Macaca fascicularis: one gene and its partners. The protein of the gene in region 3 purifies or fractionates together with the protein of the main gene of each other region. This does not show direct contact. Links are inferred from orthologs where the notes say so. Each region holds a gene or a part of one and is shown on either strand. Other genes may lie near its edges.

What was found. The genes of interacting proteins can lie anywhere in the genome.
Region 1: the proteins of FIP1L1 (region 3) and CPSF2 purify together in Homo sapiens (affinity purification with mass spectrometry; 7 studies listed by BioGRID and IntAct, with this or other methods). This does not show direct contact. The link is inferred for Macaca fascicularis from reciprocal best matches to the Homo sapiens genes FIP1L1 and CPSF2.
Region 2: the proteins of FIP1L1 (region 3) and CSTF2T purify together in Homo sapiens (co-immunoprecipitation; 3 studies listed by BioGRID and IntAct, with this or other methods). This does not show direct contact. The link is inferred for Macaca fascicularis from reciprocal best matches to the Homo sapiens genes FIP1L1 and CSTF2T.

What each region holds. Positions count from the first base shown.
Region 1 is NC_088381.1:160,117,696-160,122,799, reverse strand, and holds the start of CPSF2 (cleavage and polyadenylation specificity factor subunit 2), read right to left. Parts: upstream 3,344-5,104; 5' UTR 3,192-3,343; coding exon of another isoform or gene 3,147-3,191; 5' UTR 3,145-3,146; coding exon of another isoform or gene 3,060-3,144; 5' UTR 2,944-3,059; exon of another isoform or gene 2,901-2,943; intron 2,864-2,900; exon of another isoform or gene 2,480-2,863; intron 1,979-2,479; exon of another isoform or gene 1,766-1,978; intron 623-1,765; exon of another isoform or gene 552-622; intron 1-551. UniProt on the Homo sapiens protein: Component of the cleavage and polyadenylation specificity factor (CPSF) complex that play a key role in pre-mRNA 3'-end formation, recognizing the AAUAAA signal sequence and interacting with poly(A) polymerase and other factors to bring about cleavage and poly(A) addition.
Region 2 is NC_088383.1:94,860,534-94,865,533, reverse strand, and holds CSTF2T (cleavage stimulation factor subunit 2 tau variant), read right to left. Parts: upstream 3,344-5,000; 5' UTR 3,298-3,343; coding exon 1,420-3,297; 3' UTR 976-1,419; downstream 1-975. UniProt on the Homo sapiens protein: May play a significant role in AAUAAA-independent mRNA polyadenylation in germ cells. Directly involved in the binding to pre-mRNAs.
Region 3 is NC_088379.1:80,479,140-80,483,472, forward strand, and holds part of FIP1L1 (pre-mRNA 3'-end-processing factor FIP1), read right to left. Parts: intron 4,316-4,333; coding exon 4,222-4,315; intron 2,187-4,221; coding exon 2,030-2,186; intron 1-2,029.

The sequences.
Region 1 (5,104 bases), on a different chromosome or scaffold from region 3:
TCAACAGACATATAATGCATGCCACAAATGTACGTTTAAATTTCTTCGTGGTCACATGGAAAAGTGAAAAAGAAACAGGTGAATTTTAATGTATTTTATTTAACCCAGTAGAACCAAAATATTATTTCAACATATAATCATGTTGAATATTTTACATTTTCATATTAAATCTTCAAAATCCACTGTGTATTTTATATTTACAGCACATTTCAATTAGACTAACCACATCTGAAGTGCTCAGTAGCTACATGTGGCTAGTGACTACTATAACAGTGCAGATCTAGACTCCAGACCATAAAAATCAATGCTTTACACTATAGAGCATTGTGTTGTCACCCCTAAAGTGCAGGTTGGCACCATCGTATGTTTGTGTGCATGTCTCAGACTAAGTTTTAATAGTATTGCCAACCATTTACTCTCCCAGAATAAAAACTCAAGTCACCTTCTTACCATTAACTTAGCAGTCAGCAGGTGAATCCCATTTGACATTTACTTAGTGTCTCTCTGACCTCCTTTATGTCCTGCCTCCATGGAGGCCCTCATTGCCTTACCTGAATGATTGCCAATTTCCTTTCATCTAGTTTTTCTGTTCCCAGTTGATCCTCTATATAGCTGTCAGAGACCATCCTAAAAAAACAAATACCCTCCTGCTCACTCCTTGCACAAAATATCCACTGGATTCCTGCTAACTACTGAATAAAATCTAAACTCCCTATTGGAAATCAAGATCCTTCACAAGCTGATCTTAACCTACCTCTTGCTTCACCAATCACTCATGCACTAAATGCTCAAGCAGGTTGATTATCCCACTCTCCCTAAGTATGCTAAAGCTTCTCAAAGCTCTATATTCCTGTACTGAATCCCGAAATTACCTTCTCCTTTTGAGCTCAGCAAATTCCTTTTGATGCTACATGACCCAACTCACATATTTACTCCTTTATAAAGCCTTTTTGTTGCCCTAACCCAAGTTATTTTGTTATAAAGCGGGCACATAAAGTATTTGAATGGATTTTCAATGTATAGAGTAGTAAAAGTGATCATCGTTGAATATCCAATACCCAATATCTCACAGTTACTTGCCCTCTCAATAATGATCGTGCATGTTGCCGGGCGCAGTGGCTTGCGCCTGTAATCTCAACACTTTGGGAGGCCGAGGAAGGCCGATCGCTTGAGCTCAGGAGTTCCAGACCAGCCTGGGCAACATGGCAAAACCCCATTTCTACTAAAAACGCAAAAAAGTAGCCGGGCGCGGTGGCTGCGCTGGTGACCCCAGCTACTTGGGAGGCTGAGGTGGGAGGATTGCTTGAGCCCGGGAGGCGGAAGTTGCAGTGAGCTGAGATGGCACCACTGCACTCCAGCCTGGGGGACAGAGCGAGACCCCGTCTCAAATAATAAATCAGCTGGGCGCGGTGGCTCACGCCTGTAATCCCGGCACTTTGGGAGGCCGAGGCGGGCGGATCATCCTGGCCAACAAGGTAAAACCCTGTCTCTACTAAAACTACAAAAATTAGCCGGGCGTGGTGGTGCGCGCCTGTACTCCTAGCTACTCGTGACTCTTGAGGCAGGAGAATCACTTGAACCCGGGAGGCAGAGGTGGCAGTGCCTCGAGAATCGTGACACTGTACTCCAGCCTGCGCAACAGAGCGAGATTCCTTCTCAAAAATAAAAAATAAAAAATCATGACCGTGCATGTTGATGACAACTAAGGTGAACTAAGCAAAATCCAAGGGAAAACAGAGGAGTTTGGGTTAGCCCTGGAACTCACTGAGTGGGGAAGTCTCTTTCCTGTCAGTTGAGGGAAAGCAGCAATTTCATATTGGGGCTGCAAGGCCGGGCATGGTGGCTCACGCCTGTAATCCCAGCATAGGCCAAAATGGGAGGTTCTCTTGAGCCCAGGAGTTCGACACCAGCCTGGGCAACATAGTGAAACCCCGTCTCTATTAAAAAAAAAAAAAAAAGAAGAAGAAGAAGAAAAAAGAAAGGAAAAAAAGGGGTTAAAGGGATTGTAAAATTAAAAATTAGGGGATGGGTATAAATGATAGCTCAGGTTCGCCTGGTCACAGGAGGCCAGACTTGCCGGGGTTACAGTCTGACCTCTTGTTTTCTAAAGAGCACGTAAAACAGTACGAAGTCAAAAAAGAATTATAACTTCACAGTGATAGTGGAAGCGCTGGGGGGGCAATGGCGGGAGGGCGCGAAGGGCCGAGACCCTTTTAGTACAGCGTGGTACAAACATCCTAAAGGTCTCTGGAGTCGATGAACTAAAAGGACGCCTACGCGGTGCCCAGAGCTTAGTAACCTCGTGGTCTCTCAACCCAAAACGACGGGAAGAGCCCGAGCGGGGGAGGCTGAGAACGCCGTAGCCACGAGGCTAAGCAGCTAAAGCTGGCGTCGGCTTAACTCCTCCAGCGCCAAGAGATGAAAGGGTAAGCAGAGGGAAGCAGAAAGGAGGAAAGAAGATCCCGGGAGGGAACCGTACGAGCTGCCGCAAAACAGCTGGGAGCTTGAAACCCATGGAGAAGTCACTTCTCTTTCCCTCGCTGACCACTTCTGCCAGGAACGACAGGGACAGTCGCAGCCGAAGCGGCGGGGGCGAGTCCTCGGGGGAGACCGGGTCGGAGTCGGGGCCCGGCGCTCCCGGAGGGCCAGTGACGCCGCCTTCCCCCGCCAGAGGCTTACTCCTTTCTCCCGCCCTCACTTGCCTCGTCAGGCCTCCCCCAACGCCGTCCACTGCCCTTCCCAACCCCTAAGCGAATCCAGGTTCAAGAGGTAGAAAAGCCGATGCTGGCTCAGCAGCGCGGGGCACTACCGGCCGGCAGAAGCCCCCCCAGCGGCGGCCGCCATTTTGGAGCTGGAGGCGAGCGGCGTAAACGAGGAGGACCCAGGGCGAGACCATCTCCGGGGGGTGGGCACGGGGCTGTGGGAAGGCGACGGCGCTCATACCTGCACGCCTCGTCTGAGTGGAGCGAAATTGTATTCAGAAATTATTGATAATGTTTGGAAGCTAAAAAAAAAAAAAAAAAAAAAAAAGGAGTCAACCCTGAGGAGGAAGAAGTAGTATGATTTGCTGGCGTCACCCCTCTGCTCCGTGCCGGCGCGGCGAATGGCAGGTCCCGAGGTCGCAGCTTCCACTGGCGCGGGTGGCTGAGTTGCCTTTGGTCTCGGGGTCCCTGTTGGCACTGAGGCTGCAGGTGGGTCTGGGGAGCCTGGGGGGCCGCCGCGCCGCGGATCACGGCGAGGGTGACGGGGAGGGTTCTAGGCAGGCCCTCGGTGCTGTGCGTGTGTGGAGGGGTGGTCTGAGCTTCCCCGGGGCTTCCGAGCGAAGGTGACGGGAAAGGAAAATGGAGTTTTCTTCGGGTGGAGGATGGGATTTCCGGGCCGGAGCTTTTGGAATGGGTTTTCTGAGGCTGTTATAACAGGAAAACGTCCGTAGAGATGTGACCCAGTGACCGCCCGCTAGCCGGTATCCCATGCCTGGCCTGAAGCAGGGAAGACGCTGGCTGCCTCCCCTCCCCAAGCAGCTTACGTTCATATAAGTCCTAGCCTTCTGTCTCCTCGCTAACCTCGCTCTCTTCCAAACCGCAAATCCTCTTGAGCCGACACCGTTGCACCAAAATGATGCGCTTACCCTTTTGGTTTGCTTTTTTATTTTTATTTTTGAGACAGAGGTTCACTCGTCACCCAGGCTGGAGTGCAATGGCGCAATCTCCGCTCACTCCAACCTCCGCCTCCCGGGTTCAAGCGATTGTCCCGTCTCAGCCTCTCAAGTAGCTAGGTTTACAGGCGCCCGCCACCACACCCGACTAATTTTTTGTATATTTAGTAGAGACGGGGTTTCACTATGTTGGCCAGACTGGTCTCGAACTCCTGATCTCGTGATCCAACCGCCTCAGCCTCCCAAAGTGCTAGGATTACAGGCGTGAGCCAGCACACCCGGCCGACCTTGCCTTTTAAAAGAAAAACGTATGGCCAGGCGCGGTGGCTCAGGCCTGTAATCCCAGCACTTTGGAAGGCCGAGGTGACCGGATGAAGAGGTCAGGAGTTCGAGACCAGCCTGGCCAACAATGAAACCCCGTCGCTACTTAAAAATACAAAAATTAGCCGGGCATGGTGGCACGTGCCTGTAGTCCCAGCTACTCGGAAGGCTGAGGCAAGAAAATCACTTAAACCTGGGAGGCAGAGGTTGCAGTGAGCTGTAGTTGCACCACTGCACTCCAGCCTGGGCCACAGAGTGAGAATCTGTCTCAAAAAAGCCGGGCGCGGTGGCTCACGCTTGTAATCCCAGCACTTTGGGAGGCCTAGGCGGGTGGACCACGTGAGGTCGGGAATTCAAGACCAGCCTGACCAACATGGAGAAACCCCGTCTCTAACAAAAATACAAAATTAGCTGGGCATGGTGGCGCATACCTGTGATCCCAGCTACTCAGGAGGCTGAGGCAGGAGAATCCCTTGAATCCGAGAGGCGGAGGTTGCCGTGAGCCAAGATCGCGCCATTGCACTCCAGCCTGGGCAACAAGAGCGAAACTCCGTCTCAAAAGAAAAAAGAAAAAAAAAGGAAAGAAAAATGTATGAATTGTATAACTGCCAATCAGTGTCAGAGGAGAGGCAGAAATTCAGTCTACATAGGCCTAGCAGAGCTTAGTGCTAAGCAGTTTTGTTGGCAATAATGTATTGTCTTTCTAGGATGTTATCATATGTCTTCTCAGTCATTGTACATGATTTATTAGGTTAGGTCCAAATGCACACAGGTGTATTTTGAATTCATCTGTATGCACGAATTTTTATAGGAAATTGGCAATCCAACTATGTTTTTATTGAATTAGTGCAATTTATTTTCCACCTGATGACCATTACAGGTTCAGCATCCCTGATCAGAATATTGGAAATCCAAAATGCCCCCAAATGTGAAACTTGGGGCCACAAGTTTGAGACCAGCCTGGGCAACATAGCAAGATCTTGTGTCTACAAATTTTTTTAAGGATTTTTTAAAATTAACACCTGTAGCTCCAGCTTCTCAGGAGGTTGAGGTGGGAAGATCACTTGAGCTCAGGAGTTCAGGACTGCAGTGGACTATGATAACTCCACTGCACTCCATCCTAGGTGA
Region 2 (5,000 bases), on a different chromosome or scaffold from region 3:
GCTCTTTGTATTAAACATTTTGTAATCTGTAACTAGATATTGGTTTTCCTTCTCCACAGAAGATCACCTGATATTTGATAACTTATGCTTTTATTAATTACTACTTGTTTTATAATACAAATGTTTGTGTTCACATCCTCAAGGCTTTATTTTCAAGGAAAAATAAAGTCGTAGTAGCGCAATGTAATAAGCCCCATCTTTCAACCAATTTTTAATTGTCTCATTGGTATGTATATTAGGACTAAATGGCTGTATTCCTTACAAAAAGTAAAATAAGCAATAAGTCAACTGAGTATTCAGGCTATATAAAAACTTCTACCTACTTGGGCCTTGATTATTCTGGTAACATGATTAATGATAGAAAAGTAGATTATGAAATAAGAAAACTAAAAGGCATGTTAAATGCTGTTTAGTCTAAAGGTTTTTAACTTCTGTCTGGTGGAGCAAATGGACACCATCTGTATATGAAAGCCAGATACCAAGAAACTGAGAGTTTACTTAGTGAAACCTACTACTTATGAAAAGTCAAATATCATGTATAACTCATCCAGATCAACTGGTCCCTAGACACTGATTTTTGGGAAGGATGTGAGAGAATTACTGACTCAGATTTAGGGCTTAAAGACTATTGAGAAATTGGAAGGTATTGAGAGATAGGGTTTCATCAGAGTGGACTTAAGTAACCTGGTTGATTTTAGAATTGTCACAGCAAAATCAACATGCTCTGATGCTTGGGGCCTGGCAGAACCTTGCTGGTCTCTGAAGGCTGGGATAAATGAAGCAACAGTAAACCAGGTGTACTCCTTGATTTTTCAGGTAACACAACTTTAGAAAAAAACAATTCTAATACAAGTTTAACCTTATCCTGTTAACTCTAATATTTCAAAAATAATTCTAAAACACTAAGACAATGCTTATCCTATTGCCTCCAATAGGATTTTGTATTTTAAATGGTTTACCAAAAAATGTGTCTTATACTTTTGGGTAAACTTTATTTTGTTATACAACCAAAAATCTTAAAACCATCTTAGTACATTAACGTTTTAACAGGTCAACTTTTAGTCTTTATGAGCAGTTTTCACAAAGTTTTACTCAACATTTAAAAAATGTAGTTAACATACTGTAGACACTTCAATATTGCTGCTTATTCTTTGTAATCTTATTTGGCATAATGTTGTCATGTTCAGAGTTATTTTACAGTAACTTAAAGTGAACAGACACACTCCCTCCTCCCCCCACCCTCAATTAAAAATAAAAAAGGAAAACAGAAAGAAATAAAAAGAACAAAAAGTAAGATTAGGTTCTAGGAGGAGGGAAACCCTAATCCAAGTGTGGGGATGCAGAAGTCAGCTTTTTGCACCCATTCTCCATGCTACAGAATAAACTTTGAGACTACAGCCAAATATTTTCTAAAATCTTTCAAGAAGTTCCAGTGGATTTCTGGATTTGTTCCTTTAAAATCAGGATACTCTGCCTTTGCTCAGGGGGCAGCATGGCAATCTGATCTGCAGTTAGTTGAAGAACCTGCATGATCAAAGCCGCCTTTTCCTGATCCTGTGGAGTGACCTGGCTCTGCCCAGGACTAAAACTGCTAGGCTGGCTTCCACCTTGCTTGCTTGCCCCCTGTATGCCTCCTCCTTGTATACCCACTCCTTGTATGCCTGCCCCCTGCATCCCTCCTCCTTGTATGCCTGCCCCCTGCATGCCTGCTCCCTGCATGCCTGCTCCCTGCATGCCTGCTCCTTGTATGCCTGTACCCTGCATACCAGCTCCAGGATTCCCCACCCCTGAAATGCCTGGGACCTGTCTGGGTCCCTGAGGAGGGCCACCTGCCCCTATATTAATGGGACCAGGACCCTGAATTCCACCAGTCATAGGACCTCTTGTACTGGGGACAGGGCCCCTCATCTCCAATCCTCTTGCATCCATGCCTCTTGCTTCCATCCCTCTGGTTTCCATGGCACAGGTCTCCATTCCTCTCCTCTCCATTACACGTGTCTCTAAGACCTCAGTTTCCATGGCGCGAGTCTCCATCGCTCGAGAATCTCTACTACCTCTACCATCCATAGGTAGACCCCTTTGATCTATCATGGGGCCTCTGGGCTCTCCAATTAGCAGTCTGGGATCTCCTAATGGCCCTCCCCTCATCTCATGTGAGGAAGGGCCACGAGTGTCATGACCAGAGGCATGATGCATGGGGGGACCCTGATGGGGTGGACCCAGATAACCTCTGGGCTCCACTTCTCCAGTGACTGAAAGCAAAGTCCCTCCACGTGGGTCATTTGGAGCATCTCCTAACAGTCCTCGAGGAGGTAGACCACCAGGAGTCATGGGTCCACGAGGTATAGGAGCTCTAGGATCTGACATCTGCACTTGTCCCCGCTCTAAAGGCACTGGGCCAACCCCTGGCATTCCAAGTTGGGGCTGCATTGCTCCTCCAGGAGTTAAGGAACCAGGACCAGGTCCGGGAACTGCAGCTGGTATTGGCCCTGGAGCTGGAATTCCACCCTGGATAGGAGTCTGCATCAGAGGAGGAATGTCCTTCACAGGTCTTCTAGCCAAATGCTGAGGCTGAGGAGCTGGTGGATTCTGCTGGTTCAGCAGAACATTAGGTCCTGGGCAGAGCCCAGGGCCAGGGCCAGGACCAGGGCCAGGGCCAGGGCCAGAGACAGACACAGACTGAGATTTGCCTGGGATCAGTGGTGTGACATGTATCTTCCGATGAAGAATTTTCAGAGCAATCTCTGGATCCATGATTCTCATCACTACTTGCGCCTGCAACAGCGCATAAGCCAGTTGTGGATTTTGAAGTAACATGTTTCGAGCTTCCTGGTGGCTGTTTTGGACACAGAGCTTCATCTGCTTCATCAGCTCAAACATCTGCTCCGGGGGGAGACTGGCTACTGCTCTGGTAATCGATTCAGGGGCATCTTCTGGATCGATGGGATCCCCATAGGGTGAGTCAATAATGGGCGCTGCAGGCCCGAGGCTCTTTAACTCCTCCTTATTCTTTTCACTGGCAGCATTGTCCACCCGAAGCGCTCTGCCACTGAACTCCCGCCCATTGAGGTTCCGCATGGCACTAAGCGCGGTTTCCTGGTCTTGGTATTCGCAGAAGCCATAGCCCTTGGGTTTTCCCGTCTCTCTATCGTATACCAGCCGGAAACTGACAACAGAACCAACCTCCGAGAAAATGTCCTTTAACTGCTCCTCAGTTGCCTCATACGGAATGTTCCCCACGAACACGGAACGCAGTGATCGATCCATTGCCGGGTCTCTCACCGCCAAACTCGACATGATTCCGGTTGTGCACACTGCCGATAGCGGATTCTTCCAGGCGTCTGTCCTCTTGCGACCGACACTTCCGCTGAGCAACGGAAGCGGCTCTCAAGATCCGGGCAGAAACCTTACTAATTCGCTTGAATCGTTCTGCTTGCCTGTGGAACCTGCATCCCACTAACAAGTTATCTAATGCTTTAAGTCCCTGATCCTTCGTGGTTCTGTCAGCTTCTTATTACAGAGTCGCATGATTCCTTTCCCATTTCACCTTCCGCCGACTTTCTGTGGAGCCCCAACAGCCCCGCTACGACACCCTTGGTGCGAGATGACCACAGTAAAGATGGCCGCATAGACTTCACCATAGTAACTGGGAGGGGACTCCTCCCTTGACGTCAAAGGCGGTTTTGCTTCCGTTCCACCGGCGGGAAACCGCCAACCGAAAGCGGATTTAAGGCTGCATGTTTTTCGTTCTGACAAAGTATTTTCATGTGGCCTTTTATTATAGTATAGTTAAGCTAGATTTCAAATCACATTCCAGACTGAGGCAAAAGCGTAGTCGTTTCAAAGCACATTTGAGATTTGCCCCTTAAAGTAAAACAGTATTATATTTCCTTTTTAGAACAACGTTTTTGGAAATTAACTGACAAGAAATATAAACTGAAGCGTGTGCCTGCTGGACCCTGCCCCCGCTCTGTTGCTTCCTATAACCGCTGTTAATGGATGGGTGGCAGACCCTTCTAGGTTTTTTTGAGCACACGGGCAGCAGTCGTGCTATTCCTAATATTACGGTTTTCTTCCTTAATAATAACCGATTTCAGTATTAATTGGTGATTAAATAAATTAGTTATTAGCATTTTATGGCTTCAGAGTATGGAATAATGAAATTTACTTAACTATCCCTACATTGATTGGTTCTGATTTTTATTATATCATGCAGTGAATCCACCACTTCCATGAAGGGAAAAACAAATAGTGGTTGTCTTCTGCTGTTAGCTTTCCAGGCAGGAGTTAAAACATATTCACTGTGGGATTTCCTCGACTCCAATTCGAAGATAGAACTGAAACTTGGGGATGGCTAGGTAAATTCCCAAGGACAAGCAGCCGGAAAGAGGCAAAGTCAGGATTCTAACCCAGGTTGGTCTCGCATAGCTCCAGATCTACACTGCCTTACGCATATTGAATATTTGAAATGCAGCTAGTGTGATTGAGGAATTGAATTTTAAATTTCATTTTTTATTAATTTAAATATAAAAACTAATGTTCAGTAGGCTATTGGAAAACTTTTTTTAGTATTTATGACAACTTGGGTATAAAATCTACTTTTGCAGTAATAAATTGTATTTTAAATAAAAATCATTTCACAGAACACTAAGATAAAACAAACAAACAAACAAAAAAAGAAATAAAAAGAAAGTACTTCCAGTCAAAATTTAACATTCCAGTTGAGGTATGCCATACATGTAAGACACATGAAAGATTTTAATGATCAAATACCAAAAAATGTAAAAATAGCTCATCAATTTTATATTGTTTATAAGTTGAAATGTAATATTTTTGTATACTGGATTAAAAAATTATTTTGAAGTTAATGTTATTCATTTCACTTTTTAAAATGTGGCTATTAGAAAATTTAAAATTATATGTATATATTGCATTATACATCTGTGGACTGGACTGCTCCAAGTCTGTGCTTTAACTCCAAAACAGAGAATTATTTTATT
Region 3 (4,333 bases):
TCTGTCCTAGTTACTTTAATAATTAGTACTAAACATATAAAATGTTAGCCATCTGGGGATATACTATATTAGTAAATAAGGAAATCCTTTCATTTTGTCATTTGTGACAACATGCATGAACCTGGAGGACACTGTGCTAAGTGAAATAAGCCAGACACAGAAAGACAATTACTGTACAATCTCATTCATATGATCCAACTCATAGAAGCAGAGAGTAAAATGGTGGTTACCAGAGGCTGGGGGCCATGGGTGAGGGAGGGGAGATGATTTTCAAAGGACACAAAAGTTTCAGTAAAATGGGAAAAAAAGTTTTGGAGCTCTACTGTACAGCATGGCAACTATAATTAATAACTGTATATTTCAAAACTGCTAGGAGAGTAGATTTCAGAATGTTCTCTCCACAAGAAAATGGTAAGTATGTCAGCCAATGAATATATTAACTTGATTTAATCATTCTACAACATAGACATGATCAAAATATCACACTGTACCCCATTAAACATATACAAGTAATACCGTCAATTAAAAATAAAATTTTTAAAAAGATTTTTAAGAATAAAAAAGAAAATTATTTCAAATCACTTACTACCTAGTAAAGTAATATTACAAAGGAATCCAGCAGGATTATTAACACAAACATTAATAATTTTTTAGTATCATTAATCAAATATGTTAAAACATTATTTCTTTTATTTATCTAATTCTTTTTCAGAGGACAAAGGATTCATATAGAAATCACAGAAGTCCTCATTTTGAATCACCTAAGTCCCCTTTCATTTGGTTATTACTCAGCATATTAAAGACACAAGAACCACAAGTCAGCCCCAACTAATGAGTGGTTTCTGCTCAATCTATTTGTTGGAACAAGAAATTCACTGAATTTAGAAATACTAATGTTGTCTAGAATAAGGACCTCAAACCTATATTACAACCTCCTCCTTCCTCTATTTTTGAGACAACAGACCCTCTAAAGCCACAAGTCATTTTTTCATATTTTTCCATACTTTTTGAGAGTAGAGGTGACAGTGGAAGGAAATCAAAGGCACTGAGGATGAAAGACAGAAGCAGTGGCTGACATTTAGAGGCCAAGGATGAATATGTTAGGGAAGGACTATTCAGACCCTGTATTTGGTTCTGTACTCCGATCACAACTGGCACCTTAAAACAAAGACAGCTCTCTTGCAAATAAAAGTGAGTGAGAGTACATGGCTCTCCAGTATAAACTGATTTTATTAATAGGAAGTAAAGCCTAATACATGTCTTTCATGTTGCCCTGATGAGGATAAGCAGCTATTTTTTCATCATTTACTACTAGCTTTCTCCCTGGGAAGAAGTTATTATTCTTAATCAATCTTGCTAGTTTCATAAAAACTTGGTTAAGGCAGATAAAGATTAAAAACAAAGTAAGAGAGGCAACCAGATGAAAAATTCAAATAAAAATAAAATTTGGGAATTATTTGTGAGTTTATTCTCTATCACCACTAACCTGGTTTTTAATTAGTAATCAAAAGTAGCTATAAATATGATAAACATTTATATCACTTTTATTTAAAAGAAGTAAATACCAGGCACCCACTAGCAGTCTCCAAAAAGGAAACCAGTATACAGAAGACCAGACTGAAATATTAATTTCAATCTCTTCACAAGATAAAATGTTTTTATCTACTCCCATCCTAAAAGTATCTTTAATGCTTCTTTTAAAACAAATTAACACTGGTAAAGTTTATAACTGAGTATGGATTTATACATATCCTATTAGCAACTTAAGTTGGGGGATCATTATCATATTTTTGAATCACAAGATTGGTATCTGTATATTCTTCTCAATTTTAGAACACTGTCTCTTTCCTATACTGTGAAAAAGCAAGACACATATATATCTGTTTCAGTGTGAATCTGTTAAAGATAAACATAATATCTATTACTTTTAATGTAATGCTATCAAGATATTATTTTAATTGTCAAAAATTTAAAAAAACACTCGCAAGCTATTTTTCTTTCAAAGTCAAATGTCTTATTTACTATTTACCCGGTGGTGGAATCAGAGGTGGAGCAGTGCTGACAGTCGGAGGAGGTGGAAGAAATGGAGGAGGTGGAAGGTGAGTGGGAGGAGCTCCTGGAGGGAAAAACGGAGGTGGTTTGCTAAAATTGTTGTCTACTTCAGTAGCAGATCTTTCAGAAAGGACCTAAAATTAGAACACAGTTAAATAAACAGATGCATAAATATTATGTAAGATTAATCTTAGTAAATTAACTTCATTTAATCTAAGAAACAAAGTAAATGGTAGTTTAATTCACATATATGTATTTTTGCAGGGAGAGTAATAGTTCTACATGTGTGATATGTGCATACATATGCCTATGTGAGCATACACACACATATACTTTTTAAAATGTGCATATTCAAATCTTAAGAAAAAACAACTGGCTCATTACCAAAAATTTCTTAATAAAAAGTAATTAAGTAATAAAAACACCCCACACAAGAAAAAAGTACTTCATAAAGATCATTTAACAAGTATTATCTTTGTCACCCAACCAAAGTTAAAGTATTCAATTAAGGCAATGTAATCATTAATCAGACACTAGCCTTAAGAAATTAACATGGCAGCAGGTCAGTCATTCACTGTACGAGGGCCTGTCATCAACAGGTTGCAAAATAAGAGACTGTCAGGCATGCATCAACAGACTGCAAGCAATAGGCAGCAAGATATGTAAATAACTTTATCATGTGAGCCTTGTAACTTTAAGAACAGGGTTTTTTCTTGAAAAATAAAGTAATGTTTGCAAAATGCTTATTTGTGTGAACAGGTTAAGGGACAGACACCATAAGCAGCACCCCAAACCTACTGAAATAAAACAAGCAAACTGGCACCTCAAAATCTGGATTTTTGGTAAGGTCCCCAAGGATGTGTAAATAAATTTGGGAAAGACAGCCAACATAATGTTGTATATTTAATTTATACTTCTCAGATCCTTGCTGACTAAAGCAATCTTTTAAACATACAATCCCTCTTTCTATTAATGTTTCCTATATTTAAGTGCAGTGTTTTTTGTAGGGCTTACGCTGATAAGCTATTTCTTTAAGTATTTATTTTGAGAAATCATGGCATTTTAATGGTAAGAGGAAAGGAAAAATGGACTAACATCTTCCACTATAGAAATGATTTGCCTTTAAAGATGCTAAAAGGAATATTTTACATGATCAACTTATCGAAGGTGAGAATAAAGTGCTCTGGACATTTTCAAAAGGACTCAGAAAACAGAATAAATAATGAAAAAAGTATGGCCAAACTGAATAGCTGGAAGTCTCAGTTATTAAAGTTCTAACATCAATTATCCAGCTTACTGATAATTCACTTCCCCTCATTTTTTCACTTAAAAACAAAGGAACTCTACACCTCCCCCGGAAATGTCACATTAAATAAATTATGGTATATTCATCCAGTGAAGCTATCAGGAAGATATTTTAATCATATTTTAAGAATATGAAAACATGCAAATAATTTTTGATGGGGGAAAAAAGTATACACAGAAATATAATAGTATCCCAATTTTGCTTAGTAACAAGAGATGTACCAGCTGTGGTTATCTTTAGGTGGTAAAATCACTGGTGGTCTTTTATTTTTCAATCAGTGAACCTATATACAAGTTGAATATTCCTACTCCAAAAATCTGAAATCTGAAATGCTCTAAAATCCAAAACATTTTGAGCACCAATATTTTATTCCAAGTGGAAAATTCCACACACAAACTCATATGTGACGGGTCACAATCAAAACTCAGGCCCACTACAGAGTTTATTCAGAGTTGCCAAAGGAAAAAAGATGATCATAAATTAACAAATCATTATAATAAATTAAATAAATTATTTATGAAACATAAATTTCATGTTTAGACTTGGGTCTCATCCCTAAGATTACATACATACAAACATTTCAAAATCTGAAAATTTCCAGAATCTGATACACTTCTGGTACCAAGCATTTTAGATAACAGATATTCAAACTGTATTAGGTTTCTATCAAAGAAAAGGAAAAAACCCTATTAAAAAGAGATTCAGAAATTATAAATTCTCACTGGAAATGCCTTTATAATAAAGGAGGACTCGTTCCACATTTTAAATCTCTTTGTATCACCTAAAACACAGCACAGCACTATGACTTGAATAAATTAAATTAGAATGCTGATATCATCCTTCAATTTAAGAAAATACTAAACCTGTATGTTGCTGTTCTCATTTGCCCGTCGCCTTCCTTCTACTCGGCTGATAGTTATAGTCTGACCAATAACATCAATTGCTCCAGGTAATCTCCTGTAACACAAAAATTGA